3 linked regions of the Mytilus edulis genome follow. The protein of the gene in region 2 interacts with the protein of the main gene of each other region in a biochemical or structural test. Links are inferred from orthologs where the notes say so. Each region holds a gene or a part of one and is shown on either strand. Other genes may lie near its edges. The genes, in order: mitogen-activated protein kinase kinase kinase 4-like, dual specificity mitogen-activated protein kinase kinase 4-like and mitogen-activated protein kinase kinase kinase 1-like.

Region 1 (7,646 bases), on a different chromosome or scaffold from region 2:
TGTCGACGATATGCTCCAAATTTATCTTTTCTGTTATGATCTTTCTCCTTCTTAGGTTGAGAGCCCATCTGAATAAGAGCAGAGAAGATTTTGTAGAAATCACTTCTGTCCTTTGGACAATCTGGACAGACTACAGATAATCTTCTGCTATCAGGCTTTGATGGACCCCAAGAACTGTTCAAGCTACTGGATAAGTTTAGCGAATTTGTCAAAGTTATTGTCAGAGGCGATGGTCGATTTATTAAGGAAGAAAACCTTCCCGACAAGTCAATCCTTGGAGGGTTGGTCGATGAAAATCTACCAGACGTTGTCAAAGAAACATCTGCTGTATTTGTATCTAGATTTGACAAGTCACCAGAAGTAGCCTTCAAATGTCTATCATAACTCCTTGAAGTTTTCAGAATTTTTTTCTTGGTGCTTCGATTATCTTTGTTCAACTTTTCTGAATCTTGTGAGAAATCCCTTTCAAGGTTGTCATCGGAATCAACTCCACTGAGTTTACAAAATACCGGATTGTCTGCATACTGATCTTTTATAATGTTGACTGGAGTTTTTGGCTGAGGTTTCTTTTTAGTAGCCATATACTCCTTGTATGACATTTTCCTTTGATTAGAGTGTTTTTTGCTTTTTTCAAGTTTTGCACCCCTTGGATTGGCGGGTGGTGTTGTGCCATACACCATATTGGAATACATATTGTCTGGTAGAGATTCAACAGAATTGAACTGATCTTCAAATTCTTCTTCACTAATGTCTGCATCATGACTTTGTTGGTGGAAAAATTTAGTTTCACTAAAAAATAAATACAACAGATCATTTATTATTGTACATTCATATACAGGTGTAAAAAAATGTATGTAAACAATTGTAGAAGTCCTAACATAATTCAAATATATTTAGTTATCAAACCTCACATCGTAAAAAGACATATTGAAAAAGTGCCAATAAAACAAGGACTTAATGGATGTGCTCAGAAATTTAAACTTTTTAAAGGTCATCATGTCATATAAACATGTCAACATCCCACCTAAGAATTGGTTTCGGTGTTATCCATTGTTTAGACTAAACATTGCTAAAAGCTCTCAAGAGCCCCTCACTCACCTGATTCTACTTCCATGACTTCATGTACATTGGTTTTGGAAATCATGTAAAAAATTATTGTCCATAAAATCCTGTATTAACTGTTGTCCCCCCTGGCAGCCATCTTTGATGATGGATCAACTGATGGATTAACCATTCAAGATCTTGTCCCCAGGATTTTTATGCCCCACCTACGATAGTAGAGGGGCATTATTTTTTCTGGTCTGTGGCTCGGTTCGTCCGTCCGTCTGTGGTTCAGTTCGTCCGTCCAGGTTAAAGTTTTTGGTCAAGGTAGTTTTTGATGAAGCTGAAGTCTAATCAACTTGAAACTTAGTATACTTGTTGCTTATTAAGTACATACAATGTGCATGTACTTTCATAAATTTGCTAAATGCTTGTGGATTACTCCTTTCATCTTTGAAACTACCATGTGTCAGATATTTTAATATGCTACATTTTTAGCTCATCAGATTTTCACACAGTCAACAGGAAAGTTTTACCCATATATGACACTGGAAATGATACGCTTTTGCGAATGTGAGAATGCAATCCACATCATTTTTTTATATCCTGTTTGCATTCTGTGATGAAATGAATGGGTTTATAACAAATTTTAAGTGAAAGATTACAAGTTAGATACATATACACTTGCAGCACTGTAACACTTAATTAATTTTAATGACATTTTATTGATATTTATCAGAAATTAAAACATGTATAAGTTTAATAACGAATATGTTTTGAACACATGTCCATTTCCGTATTGTGTTTTTATTAACTTTATATGACCTGACGATGAAATTAGCTACAATAAGTAATGTCAAGTCCAGTCAATATACACATGATATATGTTCCTGCTTTCACTCAGTTGGTAGTCAGACATCATCACGACCACCAATAGGAATTCCGTGGACTACCTGATTTTTGTTTTTCCAGTCCAACAGTTCCAGAAAAGACTGTAAGTGGCGACTGCATGAAGGTGTGAAATTCTCATCAACGTTTGGCCTTCTTTTACTTTAAGGGTCACTATATTCAGAGCTATGGTTTGTTCTTGGTTATTGTTAGGTTACAGAATGTTCTAGGTTAGAACTAAGGGTTAGGTTTTAGGGTTTAGAGCTAGTGTTAGGTTTAGGTATGGTGTAGGCATACCTGCCAACTTTTCAAAATGCCCATGGGGGTTTTGTTTGCAAGATGGCTCTCATAGTCCTACAAAACCTTTAATGGGGCCTTCAAATATATTTTAATGTTGTTTTTTTTGTCTTCTTTATACTTTTACAAGCCTATATAGCCATTGTAAAATTAATTGTTTTGTTTAAATTGTGGCCACAATTGCTCTTTTAAAATTATTATTTGAGAGCCTCCATGGGGGAAATACCCCGCAAATAGTGACAGTTGGCAGGTATGGGTAGGGTAAGGTTTGGAGTTAAGGATAGTTTAGTATACATTTGTAGCTCTATATGGGTTGGGACCCTCAAGTTTAAGAATAGACCATACGCAAAAAATCTTAAGAGCACTGTCAGATGTATATGTATTTTTTATGTCTGTTGCTATTGTTTGCGTTTAATTAACAAATTAAGTATACTTCATTGATAACAAAGTGGTTATATATTCATTGTGATAATGCATGTTTTGATTACGATTCCATTATGCCGTACATAGTATACGAGAATACGTAGTATTTCTGGCCCGTTTCTCAGTTCAGGAATGTGGTAAAACAGACGATTTAAGCATTCGAATTCATGAAAAATTCTCAAAGATGTGCAAAAATAAATATTCAAATGCTTCAACTATCATTATGAGAGGTTGCATACTAGCAATGCACTTACGTCTCGTCGTGCAAAGGGTTGTAATCCTCATTTGGCGATGCTGACCTGGGATACTTTGTCCCATCAGCCGCCATGACAGATTATCACGGAAAGTCACGCGTGATTTCTATTTTTAGCAACACAAGGGATTTACCCATTTGCTGTGTTTTTATGTAAACAATTTTTGGGGTTCATTCATCTATGCCAACATTTCAAAAATGAAATTTTGGCATTGGTTGAATACAAATTTAACAAAAACATAGATCGATTAGCGTTTTAGTGTTCCTAAACCTGTTTTTGATGCAATATTTATTAAAGTCTCACCATCAATGATTTACAAATCACCACAAGCACATAAATCTCAGAATTTTTTATCTCTTATTTTAAGGTATAAAAAAAAATAAAAAAATTCTGAGACAAGTGCTTGTGCAAGTCATCAAGTCCTTGGTCTCATGCATTTTTTTTTTTTACTTAATTGTAAACTATAGATTTATATAAAATAAAGAGCCATTTCATACCGAACTTAAAGAGAGGAATTGTCATCACAAAACATCATATTGTACATGTTGTATTCATGAAAATAAAGATGACTGTATATGTTTGTTCAATATTTATGAAAGTGAATTAGTCAGTGAAATAAAAATATCGCTGTTACGCTAGTTTGGTCCAATGTTGTCAAAATAAACAAAAAAAACATGGCTCAGTGATGATATATTCACTTGCAAGTGAATAATTCGAAATCATTGAATCCGTATTCACATAACAATTTAACCCTTTATCAGGCTAACAGATGCATGAATCAGTAGACGTGTTCAGTTTATAAAAAAGAAACAGGAAAGTGTAACATGAATAAACATGAATAAACATTTCGATTCACTGCATCGACAAACAAAAATTCATTATTATACATATAAAAAACGATGATTAACATATCTTTTACAAATTAAACAAACAGATCAAGAAAAATTCAATTTCTATCTATTTCTATTTAGATATTTATGTTTCTATCTGGTTATATGACCGTTAAATTGGCAGTCTTCTTATGCCATCTCGATGCTTGACAACATGGCGTCTGAACTAGAATACATGTATACGAAAATCTGATAAATATTAACCAGACCAATCATCGTAATATGTTTATTTAATTTTAGACTTTTTAAAACTTGGACATACGGGTATGTTATTAATCAAATATGATAATTTGACTCAAATCGTTGAACATGAATTTGACAGCTAATGCCCCTTTCACGTGTTTCTTTTTATTCGGAATCAAGATGATAAAATCAAGTATTTTTGTTAATTTATCCATGTTATCAGAGGAATAATTATCCGTTTATAACAAAAAAATAACAGTCCCAAAAAAGATTGTGATGAATATAGAACAACATAAGATGAAAATATGTAATGATAACTTTAATTTATCTATTTGACCCAGCTAATATTAAGTGTTCTAAAGTAATATTAATTCTTGTCAATTTTTTAGTTATCATATTTACTGTAGCAAGCATGGTATTGTTTTTTTGTTCTTCAATATCAGTAATTTGTAATGCTTGAAAGTACTGACTGTATTTTCCTGTGATTTTTTACTGACTGCTTTTTCAGTATTCTTCGTCATTTTAGCTTCATCTATAGTTATCCTGTTTAATGCTATTTTCTGTACTATAAGTGCAGTATCAGAAGTACTATATTGTTATGATATCCTGTCTGGTCTATATCCTTTTCGACTGCCTTGTCTTATATTTACTGTTTCCTTTTTTATTATTGGTGTTGTTTTGTACACCCCGTTTAGTTATATATTTTATTTATTTATTGTGTACAGTATCGTTTCTCATAACGACCCAGTGCCTATCTATATATGTACATTGGAACAACGGACGCCGGACTGATACAAGTTGTTATAGTCGTCAACAGCTATATTTAGATCTTTAGTAAGATTTCCAATAAGAAAACTATCCACCAGAGACCAGATGACGTGGATGTGATATATAAGCAAGTGTAGGTCAATGAACGACCTTCAACAACGTGCAGAACATATTCCGTATCAGTAACTATGATAATTATTCAGCTAAAACATTGCATTTGATGTTTAAGGGGAGAAAGATAAATTCATAACTTTTAAAGAGCTTAAATTTTTAATTATTTTTTTATTAGCATATTATTTAAGATTTTATATCAATTCTACTTTTTTGTTCTTTTAAAGGAGACGTGACACAATTTTTTTTTTTTTTTTTTTTTTGATTAATTAATAAATATTGGTAAAAAAATATATTGTAATAAATTTTTCTTGTCAAAACATCATTTAACGGCCTTTAAATGGTCAAAGAATCCAGCGCTTGTCGTAATCTTTGATTTTTAATGAGATACCGGTCACGTGATCGTGATGACGTCAGTGGATACAAGCCGAGAAAATGTCTCAATGAGGACGAAGTCGATCATATTTCTGCATCATTAAACAATGGACAGTGTTAGCATCAGTTTTCAAGGCAACTCTCTAACTTTAGATATTCGACCGTATCATTTTGAGCCGTTACTTGTAGAAAAAAATTAAGTAGAAGATATAAATTCGTCATCCGACATTGACGATCTTTCAAGCAATGTCGATATAATATAAAAATACTATATCAATAATTAATTTCACCAAAAATAAAGATACATTTCTTAAAATGTTTGAGTGAAATTTAATTACATTTAATAAGAGAAAAGGATAGGTTATAAAGAATGTAGGACAGAAAGTCACAGGACAAAAAGTCACGGACAAATCGTCACAGTACAAAAAGTCACAATTTATTTTCGAAATTATTTTTCTAATAACAAGGAAAAATTAATTTAGAAAAATACAAAATTTTTGATTTATTATATATGAAGTAACTCTTTGTTACTGAAAATTATTCAATAGATATCAATAATCAAATAATTGTTATAAAAATAACATGTCTAAGTGGCTTGATATCTATAAATGGCTTCATATTGGCGTCAGATATATCCTTTGCATGATAAAATTTTTATTTTTTTTCATCAATCAAGCTTCATGAAAAATTTCTTAAACAAGCAAATGAATAAAAATAATAGAATAACTATCACCTTACCAAGTATGACGGGTGTAAAATTTGAATCACTAAAGCTGTCACCAATAAATGTGTTATAAGTATGACATAACAGTGGGTTTCGGGGGGGGGGGGGGAGGGGGGGTATGAAAAGAAATATTTTAAGAAGTTGTAAAACAGTAAAATAAATCCATATGTCTCTTCTCCTCCATAATAATCCCATTGAAAATGTTCTATGAGTACTGTCTTTTTTTTTAATATTTTTTCTGTGTGGTATATCTTCAGTCTTTAAATTGTTTTGTATTTTGTGACTTCTATCTAACTTCGACAAAGTCTGGCATAGGGGCCGTATAATATGAAAAATGAAAGCTTACAGTATTGACGGAAACTTATTGAATTGGTTTCAGGACTATCTTCACGACAGAAAACAGAGAGCAGTAATGCATAACGGAAATTTGAAAAAAACACGATAAACGATTATATAAAATTGAAACGTTTCATTTGTACGGCCCAATAACGCAATTGAGATGTTCCCATTCATTTATATTATAAATGATCCTTCTTGTCATTGTGGGTCAGATATTGAGGATGTCTACCATTACTTCTTTGTTTGTCCAAAATACACATCATGCAGAAAAACCTTATTCAATAATCTTAACTGGCTATCTGAAAGCATTGTGAAAAAAATGTTGATCTAAGAAGTATTTGTTTTGTAGTTTTAATTTTTTTTTAATTTTGAAAAGTGCGTATGCATTTAATGAGCATGAGGTAAAAGTGTCTCATATGTCTTGTTAGGCAGGAATCTAATATATTTTTATGCTGATTTTATCTTATGTATAATATATTGTGTATAATGTTAGATTGTGACACTGTAATAAACTTCTTACTTTAAAACTACCAGGGACTTTCTATGTTAGTATAGAAATTCCCTGTTACTATACTACTAAATGAAAAGTCACTGATAAAAGCGACAAGCACTGCGTGAATATTTAAAAAAAATATATATGTATTACATGTTAAAGAACAATCCAATTATAATATTGCAATGAACATAATAAAAAATTGTAAGTGTGCATTAAAGTAAAATCTAATACACAGTTGTATTAGGATGAGATTTTCCTTCAAAACTGTCGAAAATGTTGACTGACGCATGGATTTACCCTGTATGTCATGATTAAGACCAGGGGCGGATCCAGCCATTTTAAAAAAGGGGGGGGGGGTTCCTAACCCAGGACAAAGGGGGGTTCCAATTACATGTCCCCATTCAAATGCATTGATCGTCAAAAAAAAAGGGGGGGTTCCAACCCCCGGAACCCCCCCTCTGGATCCGCGCCTGAAGACGATGATTGGGTTACATGTTTAAACAAACAAGATGTTTGGTGAGCTATTGCAAATTGATGACATCCGTTTTTTTTTAGCTCACCTGGCCCAAACGGCCAAGTGAGCTTTTCCCATCACTTTGCGTCCGGCGTTCGTCGTCCGTCGTCCGCCGTCGTTAACTTTTACAAAAATCTTCTCCTCTGAAACTACTGGGCCAAATTAAACCAAACTTGGCCATAATCATCATTGGGGTATCTAGTTTTAAAAATGCGTCCGGTGACGCGGCCAACTATCCAAGATGGCCGCCATGGCTAAAAATAGAACAAAGGGGTAAAATGCAGTTTTTGGCTTATAACCCAAAAACCAAAGCATTAAGAGCAAATCTGACGGGATTAAATTG
Region 2 (7,286 bases):
TTCAAGCCTCTCTCGCAATTTCTCTGAAGTAGAAAAATAAAGCATTTTAATCTTTAATATCATAGCACTACTTGTAACAACAATCATAAACTTAAGTCAATACAAAAAGGGATTTCTGGAATAACCAAAATTTGTAGACAGCAGTGTTCTCCCCAAGGCCTTTTAGCATCATGGTAATGTGATGCTATCTGAAATGGTTTTCTTATAGATAGTGTTATGGATGTGATGCTATAATTTCTAGAAACAAGATGGTATTTCAATTTCCCCTGTTAACCAGGATGCTAAATAAAATATCTGGGGAGAACACTGGACAGCACAATATTTTCTAACTGAAATACACATAGAAGGACAAATTTACATTCTGAAAACCTATATTTCTTTAAAACTTCTGATGAAACCTTGAACAAGGTTTTCAGATCCTGTTTTGTTGAATCAGTTCAATTGTTGTGTCTTAAAAATCGTAAAAAACTGAGAAAGCAAATTTAATCAGATCACAATATTGGGATTTCAGGACCGATTTTGAACATCAAAACAAATGAAATTTGAAATTAGTTAACAGCATCTGCTTCTAGGTCCTTCTAGTTCCATTATCATGATAATATATTATGATAATGCTTGATTCAGTTACTACTACACTTTGTGACCATAGATAAATGTTTTTTATTTGAATTAACAATACAAACGTATAACAGTTTGTCAGCAGATAACACAAAACACAGACAATTAAACACCATTATTTGTAACATTTGACCCCTTCATTATCAAATAAAAAGGATAGGAAACCGAAATGTTTCAAAAATAGCAGTTATGAAAAGCAAATGAATACAAAATCTTTCTTTTAAACACTTTTGACGACAAATCCCTGTTTACTGGAATTAACACTTCTGACAGCTGACCACGAGTTTATGGATCGGAATATCTCCTTTATATTTGCCATTGAAAACATTTCAAACACAAGTTATCTTTCTTTGTTGAATGCCTGGATGAAAGTGTAAACATGACACCTCCGTTTGTTGAAAACCGTGTCAAAATCAAATGAAATTTACGGATTTAACTAGAATTTGAAATATCGGAATATTTTATTTTAAAAGAGTTTGGAAGAATTGAAGCCAGGCTAATATATATACCTTTTGGACATAAAATGCTGATTTATGTATAAAAACAGTTGGAATGGACATGTACATCGTTCAGTGAAAGGAATTTGTATAGTCTTGTTATTTACAAACTTTTGCCTCTTTGGTTTAACAATTTACGAATTTGGTTGAACAGTGGGATTGCCTGAAATGCGCCTTTTTAACGTCTAAAATTAGTGAATTTGATTTTTGGAGACAAAAAATTATCAACATGACCAAAACATTAGCAACAAGAATGTGTCCTCAGTACACGAATGCCCCACTCGCACTATCATTTTTTATGTTCAGTGGACCGTGAAATTGGGGTAAAATCTCTAATTTGCATTAAAATTAGAAAGATCATATCATAGGGAACAGGTGTACCAAGTTTGAAGTCGATTGGACTTCAACTTCATCAAAAACTACCTCGACCAAAAACTTTAACCTGAAGCGGGACAGACGGACGAACGGACAAACGAACGGACGCACAGACCAGAAAACATAATGCCCCTCTACTATCGTAGGTGAGGCATAAAAATGTGTCCATGGTGTTAAAGAATAAAATAAAAACGTAAACTTCAGACAAGTTTTTATTGCTATTAAATATGAAGATTTGCCACTTGTGTCACAATAGCCAGGGAAGCAGTCACAAACATTATTGACCAAACGATTTTCTTTAACATTTTATGTGCCAGTTCCATGCAAGGAGCCTGTGAGCCAGGGGTTTGTGTTGGTTGCTGTCTGTCATAATTGATGACCTATAAAACAGGCAGTTGATTTTCTCATTTGAATTGTTTCATATTTTGTCAATCAGATGTATTTTATAGCTGATAATAAAGTATTAGATTTGCTCATTATCAAACGAGGGACATGACTTTCCTTCAGCCATTAGTGGATAATTGTCTATTAGGCAAATCATACTCCTTCTTTACTTTCACAATTGTGTTTTCATCAGAAATCGTAAGACCTACGTTATATGATTTGGTTTAAAGTTTGCATGTCAAAATGCCCTCGTAATGGATACAAATTCAGGTCAATCTTTTAACTGAACTTGAAGAGGATATATATGTTCACGACGTGTAAGAGAAGGGTGGTGGCTGAATTTTGAGTCAAAATTTCATGCCACATCATTTGAATGCCTTTAACAGAAGTGTTTACTTTCGCCTTCGAAAGTTTATTCCAATGCTGTTTTTTAACTGATTAAATGGTAAAATCAATATACTTGACTTTTGAAAGCAATTTTAACATATTGTCACATGTACTGAGAGAGATTTTGCTTAATTGGAAACCCTCTGACACTTTCTTTATACAAAATCTAGAAAATTCACAATTTTAAGATTTTCTACATAGTAGTTATAGGTCAAATTCTCATAACATTTCATTTTCTAAAAATCTTCTTTACATGAGGAAGAAATTAAATATCTATTTTTTTATAATTTATCATGGCTTTACTTAACAGGTAAACAAACATGAGCATGTTATTGATCAAGGTGTCAGAGGTGTCACTCCACAACAAACTACATTATTTAAATCAGAAATGTATTGCGTTATTGTGTTGACATTAAGAGAGTTTGTCGATAATTACTCTTTATTGAAATGTCATTTACTCTGTGAATGATTAAACAGTAAAAACATACACTTATGTATGACTCATACATCCTAAAATAAAACCAACATGGATTTCCACAAGTACGCTACCTTGGTTGTCATTCGGCTTTTTTGGATTCGGATTTTCTGGGTCCGCCATTTTGAAAAACGGCTAATATTTTGATGGTTGTATTTGCCAGTATGGTAGTTGTGTTTTTCATGAAACCAATTCCTGGTGATCTTAAAAACACAGTAAAACAGGTAGCAGATATCGTGGGCTTAGAGGAAATGTGATTGGGTAGCGATGTTCATTTCTCTGCGATGACTCATCTACTCGTAGTCTTCTTGGGAAAATCCCTGTGACGTCAAAGTCTTGACGAGAACTGCCGAACAGCGGGCACCTGCTACAATCGCACGTTTTCGGTATTTTCCGTTAATCCACAAGAGTTACCTCTCGTAGGCTATCAATTAAATCGAAGGATGGAAAATTAATTCCTTTTTAGGCCTGGTAATAACGACAATATGCAAATGGTCCTATAGCTTGTGACATGTTTTTTTGTTAATTTTGTATTTATGATCATTTTACTTATTATGATTTCTTCCTTCATAAAGTTTGATATAATTGGCAAAATTGTAATTAAGATTAGTACAAAAATCCCTGAAAAAGCTTCCAAATGGCCTTTGGCATTGCCGCATATTGTAGATCTTATATTTCTGATTTATTTTCAATTTGAAACAATTGACAGAATTGACCATCCATTATAGTTTCCGGATATAGAATTAAAAAAAAAACACGAGAATTCAACAAACGTTTTAAGAGCAAAACATCCTTATATAGTCATCCATTGGGTTTGGTCATATTTTTTAACTTTGTACTTATCCGGTGACCATTTTAGTTGTTTACAATTTCTTACTATCTAGTACAGTGTCCGAGACCACAGGCGCTTGGGTATATGATACAGAGTTTTTTTTTTGTTTTTTTTTTTTGTTGATTAAAATATTAAATTTTCTTTATCTATAATACATATCTATCACTTTCGTGCATGTCTCAGCTAGTTTCGAGTGATTAAAACGACTCAGAGAAAATACCCAATTTGCTTCTTATATGGATAGTAAAATTGGGTATTTTCTCTTGAATATTTTACTCAACATTTTTTTTTATCTGTTTCATATACCCAAGCACCTGTGTCCGAGACAACAGTTACTGACCATAAACGAAAACTATACTCAAGTCTTCATTTAAAAAACATCACTCCTCGTCTTTGCAGTTTACAGTTTTTATCTATTATTGTTTTCGACCTAATTTTAAAAGAAACATTAAAATTAGACAAACATCGTCATTTTCGGGCACTAACATTTTTTTAATTGGCAGTTTTGGAGTGGGGCTGATAATTTGTTTCTAATTGCAGTTTCTAACTATCTGTTATAGTTTTTATACACCCGTCGTCTTTTAGACGGGACGTATTATGGTATACCGTTGTCCGTCCGTCCGTCCCGCGTCGTCCACACTTCGGACAATAACTCAAAAACACTTTCACCAATTTCCATGAAACTTAAGTAATTGTTTATATCTATTGATGTAAGCTCCCTTTCGGTTTTTTTTTAATTTCAGATTTTAAGTTTTGGATTTATGGGGCTTCATTCATAAAAAAGGGGGGATTTTCAACACTTCGGACAATAACTCAAAAAGGCTTTCACCAATGTCCATGAAACTTAAGTAAATTGTTTATATCTATTGACGTAAGCTCCCTTTCGGTTTTTTTTTAATTTCAGATTTTAAGTTTTGGATTTATGGGGCTTTATTCATAAAAAAAGGGGGATTTTCAACACTTCGGACAATAACTCAAAAAGGCTTTCACCAATGTCCATGAAACTTTGGTAAATTGTTTATATCTATTAATGTAAGCTCCCTTTCAATTTTTATCAATTTCAGATTTTAAGTTTTGGAAATAACTCAAAAAGGCTTTCACCAATTTCCATGAAACTTAAGTGAATTGTTTATATCTATTGATGTAAGCTCCCTTTCGTTTTTTTTTTAATTTCAGATTTTAAGTTTTGGATTTATGGGGCTTTATTCATAAAAAAGGGGGATATTCAACACTTCGGACAATAACTCAAAAAGGCTTTCACCACTGTCCATGAAACTTAAGTGAATTGTTTATATCTATTGACGTAAGCTCCCTTTCGTTTTTTTTTTTTATTTCAGATTTTAAGTTTTAGCTTTATGGGGCTTTATTCATAAAAAAGGGGGATTTTCAACACTTCGGACAATAACTCAAAAAGGCTTTCACCAATGTCCATGAAACTTTGTTGAATTGTTAATATCTATTGATGTAAGCTCCCTTTCAATTTTTATAAATTTCAGATTTTAAGTTTTGGATTTATGGGGCTTTATTCATAAAAAAGGGGGGATTTTCAACACTTCGGACAATAACTCAAAAAGGCTTTCACCAATGTCCATGAAACTTAAGTAAATTGTTTATATCTATTGATGTAAGCTCCCTTTCGTTTTTTTTTAATTTCAGATTTTAAGTTTTGGATTTATGGGGCTTTATTAATAAAAAAGGGTGGATTTTCAACACTTCGGACAATAACTCAAAAAGGCTTTCACCAATGTCCATGAAACTTAAGTAAATTGTTTATATCTATTGACGTAAGCTCCCTTTCGTTTTTTTTTAATTTCAGATTTTAAGTTTTGGATTTATGGGGCTTTATTCATAAAAAAGGGGGGATTTTCAACACTTCGGACAATAACTCAAAAAGGCTTTCACCAATGGCCATGAAACTTTAGTGAATTGTTTATATCTATTAATGTAAGCTCCCTTTCAATTTTTATCAATTTCAGATTTTAAGTTTTGGATTTATGGGGCTTTATTCATAAAAAAAAGGGGGATTTTCAACACTTCGGACAATAACTCAAAAAGGCTTTCACCACTGTCCATGAACCTTAAGTGACTTGTTTATATCTATTGACGTAAGCTCCCTTTCGTTTTTTTTTAATTTCAGATTTTAAGTTTTGGATTTATGGGGCTTTATTAATAAAAAAGGGTGGATTTTCAACACTTCGGACAATAACTCAAAAAGGCTTTCACCAATGTCCATGAAACTTAAGTAAATTGTTTATATCTATTGACGTAAGCTCCCTTTCGTTTTTTTTTAATTTCAGATTTTAAGTTTTGGATTTATGGGGCTTTATTCATAAAAAAAAGGGGGATTTTCAACACTTCGGACAATAACTCAAAAAGGCTTTCACCAATGGCCATGAAACTTTAGTGAATTGTTTATATCTATTAATGTAAGCTCCCTTTCAATTTTTATCAATTTCAGATTTTAAGTTTTGGATTTATGGGGCTTTATTCATAAAAAAAAGGGGGATTTTCAACACTTCGGACAATAACTCAAAAAGGCTTTCACCACTGTCCATGAACCTTAAGTGACTTGTTTATATCTATTGACGTAAGCTCCCTTTCGTTTTTTTTTTAAATTTCAGATTTTAAGTTTTGGATTTATGGGGCTTTATTCATAAAAAAAAGGGGGATTTTCAACACTTCGGACAATAACTCAAAAAGGCTTTCACCACTGTCCATGAACCTTAAGTGACTTGTTTATATCTATTGACGTAAGCTCCCTTTCGTTTTTTTTTAAATTTCAGATTTTAAGTTTTGGATTTATGGGGCTTTATTCATAAAAAAAGGGGGATTTTCAACACTTCGGACAATAACTCAAAAAGGCTTTCACCAATGTCCATGAAACTTAAGTAAATTGTTTATATCTATTGACGTAAGCTCCCTTTCGTTTTTTTTTAATTTCAGATTTTAAGTTTTGGATTTATGGGGCTTTATTCATAAAAAAAGGGGGGATTTTCAACACTTCGGACAATAACTCAAAAAGGCTTTCACCAATGTCCATGAAACTTTGGTGAATTGTTTATATCTATTAATGTAAGCTCCCTTTCAATTTTTATAAATTTCAGATTTTTAGTTTTGGATTTATGGGGCTTTATTCATAAAAAAAGGGGGGATTTTCAACACTTCGGACAATAACTCAAAAAGGCTTTCACCAATGTCCATGAAACTTAAGTAATTGTTTATATCTATTGATGTAAGCTCCCTTTCGTTTTTTTTTTAATTTCAGATTTTAAGTTTTGGATTTATGGGGCTTTATTCATAAAAAAGGGTGGATTTTCAACACTTCGGACAATAACTCAAAAAGGCTTTCACCAATGTCCATGAAACTTAAGTAAATTGTTTATATCTATTGACGTAAGCTCCCTTTCGGTTTTTTTTAATTTCAGATTTTAAGTTTTGGATTTATGGGGCTTTATTCATAAAAAAAGGGGGATTTTCAACACTTCGGACAATAACTCAAAAAGGCTTTCACCAATGTCCATGAAACTTTGGTGAATTGTTTATATCTATTAATGTAAGCTCCCTTTCAATTTTTATCAATTTCAGATTTTAAGTTTTGGATTTATGGGGCTTTATTCATAAAAAAGGGGGATTTTCAACACTTCGGACAATAACTCAAAAAGGCTTTCACCACTGTCCATGAAACTAAGTGAATTGTTTATATCTATTGACGTAAGCT
Region 3 (6,924 bases), on a different chromosome or scaffold from region 2:
GTATTGTTCTAAGATTTGTATCTATACAAATGAAACACAGTGAAGAGATGAAAGTCGTTTACCCTTTTGAATATCTTAGATACCCAGTCATTGAAACAAGAGGGTCTGTACAAAATTGAACTTTTAAACAGGAAATAAATAAGAACCTAATTATATCTGAATTTTGAATGACATGAATCTGAAAACCAGATAATTGTTTTAACAAAAATGTGAAGATATAATATAATTTATTGACAGACTTTCTTTCACATACAAGTGGCTGTCAACTTTTCAAACCTCCAGAACTATTTAATGGGAAATTTGTCATTGTAAATATTTTACATAGTTTTTTTTTCTTTTCTCAGAAAAATTGAAAATACTTTTTTTCAAATATTCTTATGATCATTATCTAAATGATTACAATTAATAATAGACTATTTGGATATAAGTATCAGGTTGCTTATGGACACTAAATCATATAAAACAAAATTGGGAAATTGGTTCTCCAAACATTGCCAAAGATGAACTTTTGACTTCCCTGCGAGACTCCATGGGAAATTTCAAAACTTAAGAAGAATATATTCAGAGTTTCATTCAGTATCTGGATAGTTGACACTTACTTATATGGTTTTAAAAGAAAATGACAGTCATGAATTTTATACAATGTCGTGAACATGCAGGGAGGTAGTACAAATAAATGACATGTGCAAAAAAGTGATGGCCATTTACCAACTATATTTACAATTCATTGCATTATAAATGTGATTCAAAAATCAATTCCATATCTATATAGGTACTGTATGTATTTCTACAACTCAAAAGAACATTCATGTCTCTATAAAATCAATGTGTTAAATGGTGAAGTAATTATATGATGACTGAAGGAGTATTGGGGTGCTACAACATAAACACTCAAAGCTATACTTGTTTTCTGACTCTGTCACACTTAAGTTTGTAGCTATCCTCTGGTCTTCATTGCTTTCACATCTAGACATAACAAATAAAACTGTCAGTAAAAATCAAAGATACTAAGACAGCCAAGAGGATGATCTATTCCAAGGTTTGGAATGGATATAAAAGATTTTGGGAAAATGATGTAAATTCTGTAACATGGTGCATGTGGGGCCTGTTTTGTTTTCTATAACAATTCAACATTGTCACACTCAAATATGCTAAAAATTGTATTTTCCTCAACTACAGAATTGCGTCATTCCTTTCTTGAAATCTGCAATTATATGCATAATATACATGCATTATGCACCTTATTCATATTATATACAATTGTATATTGAATGATAAAAAAAAAAATCCATTAATTTTATTTTTCGTGAAATTCAACTCAAGTGGTAAATATATTCAGAACAATTAAAAGAATATAAAATGACTTCTGTCAATAATTTTGAGACGTAACCATTTTAATCAGTTATATAATCTGAATCTTGCATTTTACAGATATGTCTGCTTTCTACTTCAATAGAAAGAAAAAAACAGAACTAGCCTTTAACATCAAAATAAAAACCAATTACATGTAGATGTAGATGAGCAAACATATTCATGTATATAAATTGCTGTTAATTGGAATGTACATGATACATATACACATGTACATGTATGTTTAGAAAAAAAAGTGTGCTGCATGTTATTTAATTCAATTACAAATGTATGTTAAAAAATAGCAGTTTTTTCATGATCTACACGTGTAAATATGCATTACATGTACATGTTTGATTATAAGCAATAAGAAATGCTTGATTTCTAAATTAACATTGAAAATGGTATGTTTTAAAAAAGATTCAATACTTCTCATGTGTTCCTTAATTCATTTTGGGTAAACTTAATTCAGTGACTGTTCCAGAAGAATTTAACAAAGCTAGTTATTGACCTTTAACTTCATGTTCGCTAAATGCATATAGATATACATGTATTTCTGTTAATATTCATTGATAAACCAAAGTTTGTTGATTGCATCTATCCAATTGACCCTGTAATAAAGGATGGTGTAGCTACATTTTTGTAAGATACAAATAATACAACTAAGTCTGCTGCATACATTTGTATCTTGACTTAAATCTAGAAATGAATTTTTTTATTTGAGTTTCTAATCATTATTTTATCCCTAACAAAGCTTTCCTGCATACAAGAAAACTACAAACCAGCCATGCAAGGGTTTTTATTGGAAAATGAAGTCACCTCATCAAAACTTGACATTTACACTTGGTTGAGCGATAAAGAATAAATATTGTGTTGCTTATGATTATTTAATTTGTCAAACAATTGAAGTGCAATCCCCATTGGATGCAACTTATCTGAAGAGCTTGTGCAGTTGTTTTAAACAGACATGTAACATCTGACTGCTACAAATATACATGTAGCTTATGATTTCTGTATACTAATATTCATCTATAAGTCAAGCTTTAAAACTTTTTTATAGTTTGAGACAGCCCATTGAAACATGAAAATGTTGGTAAAACTACATTATACATCTGTGCAGTCATATTTAAATATTACTTTTATAAAATACAATTATAACCTTGCTGATTGTGACTTTAAATTTCCATCTTCGATTGGTCTCAGAATCTTTCTCCAATCATGAGGTCCAAGATATTCCTCAGAATCTATACAATTTGGTTTAAAATCTGTATCCTCGAAGAAAAAACCATTTGTCTGTGACTGCTTACTTGTTTCAGCGTCATCATTTGCTAATGTAGCTGATTCCATATTTCACGGAGTATCATGTCACATAAAGCTCAAAGACTGCTTTCACCATTCATTTCATTGTAATTCTAACTAAATTATTGACGACATGCAGACAAATTATAAATAAACAAGCGCCAAATACAACAAAAGATGTATTTGCAAACGTTTCTGTAGTTACATTTCGATGGCATTCAATTCAAAATGTTATCTTATTTTGGTATGCGGTTTATTATTTATCTAGCACAGCTATTTCCGGTAGGAATACCCTTGTTTTTACCACCTCATTTTGTTTACAAACCAACTTTCTTAGTTCATTTCCAATTTTATTTACAATGATGTCTCTTACAAGCTCAATAGCAGGTGAATCATCACGTATGTAAAAACGTCTGCCTGATCTATGTAAATTCTCGGAATTTTCGAAAATTAGCTTCTGAAGAAAGGATCAGTCTAGAAATTTCGAAAGGAGGACAGGTGCTTGGCTAGTTATTTCCCTTTTCATGCTACATAATAATTGATTACGAAAAGGAGAAAACGATCAACTTGGTAGTTGTTGTTGACAACGTCAAGCACATTGTTAAATGGTAGGGTAACATTAAATGTCAATGTGCAAGACCCTTTAACACCCGAGGATCATCCTATAAAATATATATGATATCATATCACTGCAGACAAATAATTGCAGTCAGAATTTTCCCCTCTAAAATTAATTAAAATCAGTGACCTCCCCTAAAAAAATAAATAGGATATAATTTTGCACTTATAGACTTATGGCTCATGAGTGACTAGTGTAGACTTGAGAGAATTGCATGATCATTTAACAGCAAATTGTCTGGATACCAGGGCTGTTGCTTCAGTAATACCGGAAAGTAATTCCCAAAAAGTTGATGGCATTCCGTAAATACATGTATAAAGAAGAAGAATTTTTTCATGAAGCAAATTTATGTGTGATGTTCATGATGTTTGGGGCTTCAGATATGTTAAAGTCCATGTGTTGTTTTGGCCTATCACCACTTGGCCTTGGTCATTACAGTCCATTAGAATCAGGGTCCGTCTGCCCTGATTCACGTTCGCCCTGGTACCTATTCGCCCTGATACCTGTTCGCCCAGGGTCCATTTGCCCTGATTTTTTTATTTTATTATTATTGTCTACTTGCATAATGTTCATTATTTGTACAGAGTATGATAAATATTGATGACAAATTCGCTCAATATTTGTATTACTGCAACCAAATAATCAGTTTCCGTTTTATTTGCATACAAATGTAGTAGAATACTTGAATACAATGTATTTATCTTTATTGATATGTGTTATAACTGTTACAGTTTAAATAATTCTATCAAGTCAATTTATGCAGTATAATATAGGAATAAATGAACTTGTAAATTCTTTCTATGTTTTACAATTCATAAATGACTGCTTTACAGTCATTTCAAGCTGACAAATTTATCAAAACAAAACGTTATTTTTATTATTTATCCAACAAAGATAAGTTTGAAAGACATTAAACAAGCAGTGAGAATTATTATTATATCATTGAACAATTAATGCTCCCAAATAAGCCATCAACTTTTAAATATTTCCATGTTTTTTCATGAATGTCGAGAATTTATACCATACAAATATCTGAATAAGTTTTAGTAAACTTTATGCCCTTAAAGGCTTAAAATTAATATTTTGAAATAAAAGTATGCAGGGCGAACAGACTCTATGGGCGAACGAACTCAGGGCGACCGGACCAAGGGCAAACATGTAATCAGGGCGAACAGACCCGATTCCAGTCAATTATGCCTTTTTGTTATCAGTTCTTATTAAAGTTTTGGAGAAAAAAAATAAGATGTTTTAAAGTCATATGATACCTCAAATTAAAAAAAATGATGAATATGTTTTTTATAACTAAATGGATAGTTTTCATTATAAAACTTATGTACATATATTTTTTTCTGAAGAAAATTCTTTAATCTGTCCATATTTAGAAGAAGTTTACTTTATTTTAATTCCTTGCTTCCAGGAAGCAATTCGCCCACATATTTTCCGTATACAATATGACCTCAGCGTGACCCTTCTCGTAAAAATCCGGTGATCGCAATATGCATGGATCTGTCATTAAAATAAACTATTATCTGATTGTACATGTTATACACGTGCTAAATATCGATGCTTTTTTTATTGTTTACAATAAGGTGACAATTGGCAAACTTCAGCTTCAAAACACGACATTTAAGTAGCTGCCATATTTTCACTTCATAACAGACAGAGAGAAAAAAAAAATGACGATTATGCGATAATATGGTTGAGTAAAAAAAGATAAAATCGTGCACAGAAGACTACGTTTATGAATATACATGCATTGGTTCAAGAATTGGATAAACATTATTTTTCATTGGTCACTCGTTTCATATGACTTTAATAAATATTTCTATATATATATACACACAATCTTCATCTACAAAATGTATATGATCATGATGATTAGACTTAGAAAATGTCCAGTCAGTACAGACAGGCAAAGATTAAATTTTCTTATATTTTTAAGTATTGAAAATATATACCTCCACATCTGTTTTGCCAAATGATCCATAAAAAAATGCTTTGAAAAAAAATGTTGATGTTTTGCTTCAAAATTTTATGATAAAGCTGTCTTGGAATTGAAAAGAATATTTTTTTTAAAATAAATATATTATTTAGATGATTGATTCCACCACAGTTATATTACATGATTAGCTCAGTGATAAAAGTAATGTCTAAGTGATTGACAAATGTGTGTGTGTCATAATAAACCAATCAACTTGTTATTCCATTAAATCATTTCTAAACAAGACTGTCCACATTTGTAAAGATCATGTGGAAGTCATCTAAATACTGGTACCGACATCATAAAATATCTCTTATTCTATTGTACATGTGACCATATAGATTTTCGGTCTCCTTTTTTTTTTATATAAATATAACCTTAAAATGGATAAAATGTTTATTATGGTTAAAAACCATAAAATAAATCATTTTTTAAAAATTTCATCTACATTTAAAAAGAAGATTTGATGTGGTATATTTGCCAACAAGACAACTCGCCACAATAGACCAAATGACACAGAAATAAACAACTAGACTTCACCGTACAGCCTTCAACAATGAGCAAATCCCATTCTACATAGTCAGCTATGCAAGGCCCCTAAATTACAAATGTAAAACAATTCAAACGAGAAAACTAACAGCCTTATTTAAGTACAAAATAATGAATGGAAAACATTTTTGTAACACAGCAACAAACGAATTTTTTTTACACCATTACTATAAAAGTGCAATACAATTATTTTTAAAGTTATAAAAGGTATATAAATGAAAGTATATATACAACTATAATATGTCTAAAACGACTTTTATTACATGTCCCAAGTGGTACATGGCCAATAAGAAAATAGCAATTATATACTGGGTAATTAGGAGTAAGATTGGTGCACATGTACCTGAAGGTGAGATTAATATGGAAACGCTAGGTTAAATATATCTTCATAAGGACTTACTTTCTTAAAAAGACCCTAAAAGGTAAAAAAAAAAAAGAGGTAAAGAACATCATTTGTGCGTTTAGGTGCATTGTCACTTCCTTCCGATATTGGGCAGTTGAAAAATATGATTTTTTTTTATGCTATATTGCAGGAATTTATCGGCAAACTAAATTCTTATGATTAATAATCAGCACTGCTAGCTGTTGTTAGGGAAAACATACAGAACTGCTTTATTTTAGATAAAAGTCATAAAGGCACACATACACTAAAAACTTTTTCTAAAGTGGTCTATTAACTTTCATTTTGATCTGTGCAAAACTAACATGCCTGTCTTTCAATTATTTCTTAGAGTAAATTTGTTATGAAACATCTACCACTGCCAAGCCAACAACATTTGAGACAATGAAACTATAACATCTACAGAGGCTGTAAGAATCTTTAATTTGGATCTGCAGTGGGGGATCCAGAAAATTTATTAAGTGGGGGCCAACTGACTGCTTAAGAGGGGGGTCGCTCTAGTCATGCTTCATTGATTCCCTATATAATCAACCAAATTTTTCCCAGAAAAAGTGGAGGAGGGGGGCAGGCCCCCCAAAAAAACCTTTAAATCCGCCTCTGATCTGATAAAATTATCCTCTAGAAATTAGTCTACATAGCAACACCACCTGAAATTGTAAACATACCTATATAAACTTAGTCAGAAGATGATAACCTTATGACTGAATATAATTGACATTTTTGAAG

What was found.
Region 1: the proteins of dual specificity mitogen-activated protein kinase kinase 4-like (region 2) and mitogen-activated protein kinase kinase kinase 4-like form a complex in vitro, tested with the Homo sapiens proteins (2 studies listed by BioGRID, with this or other methods). The link is inferred for Mytilus edulis from reciprocal best matches to the Homo sapiens genes MAP2K4 and MAP3K4.
Region 3: of the proteins of dual specificity mitogen-activated protein kinase kinase 4-like (region 2) and mitogen-activated protein kinase kinase kinase 1-like, one has a biochemical effect on the other in vitro, tested with the Homo sapiens proteins (7 studies listed by BioGRID and IntAct, with this or other methods). The link is inferred for Mytilus edulis from reciprocal best matches to the Homo sapiens genes MAP2K4 and MAP3K1.

What each region holds. Positions count from the first base shown.
Region 1 is NC_092353.1:29,922,598-29,930,243, forward strand, and holds the start of mitogen-activated protein kinase kinase kinase 4-like, read right to left. Parts: upstream 3,002-7,646; 5' UTR 2,978-3,001; coding exon 2,904-2,977; intron 790-2,903; coding exon 1-789. UniProt on the Homo sapiens protein: Component of a protein kinase signal transduction cascade. Activates the CSBP2, P38 and JNK MAPK pathways, but not the ERK pathway. Specifically phosphorylates and activates MAP2K4 and MAP2K6.
Region 2 is NC_092352.1:46,581,244-46,588,529, reverse strand, and holds the start of dual specificity mitogen-activated protein kinase kinase 4-like, read right to left. Parts: upstream 3,085-7,286; 5' UTR 2,860-3,084; coding exon 2,811-2,859; intron 24-2,810; coding exon 1-23. UniProt on the Homo sapiens protein: Dual specificity protein kinase which acts as an essential component of the MAP kinase signal transduction pathway. Essential component of the stress-activated protein kinase/c-Jun N-terminal kinase (SAP/JNK) signaling pathway.
Region 3 is NC_092344.1:5,536,373-5,543,296, forward strand, and holds the start of mitogen-activated protein kinase kinase kinase 1-like, read right to left. Parts: upstream 3,049-6,924; 5' UTR 2,698-3,048; coding exon 2,510-2,697; intron 967-2,509; coding exon 904-966; intron 1-903. UniProt on the Homo sapiens protein: Component of a protein kinase signal transduction cascade. Activates the ERK and JNK kinase pathways by phosphorylation of MAP2K1 and MAP2K4. May phosphorylate the MAPK8/JNK1 kinase.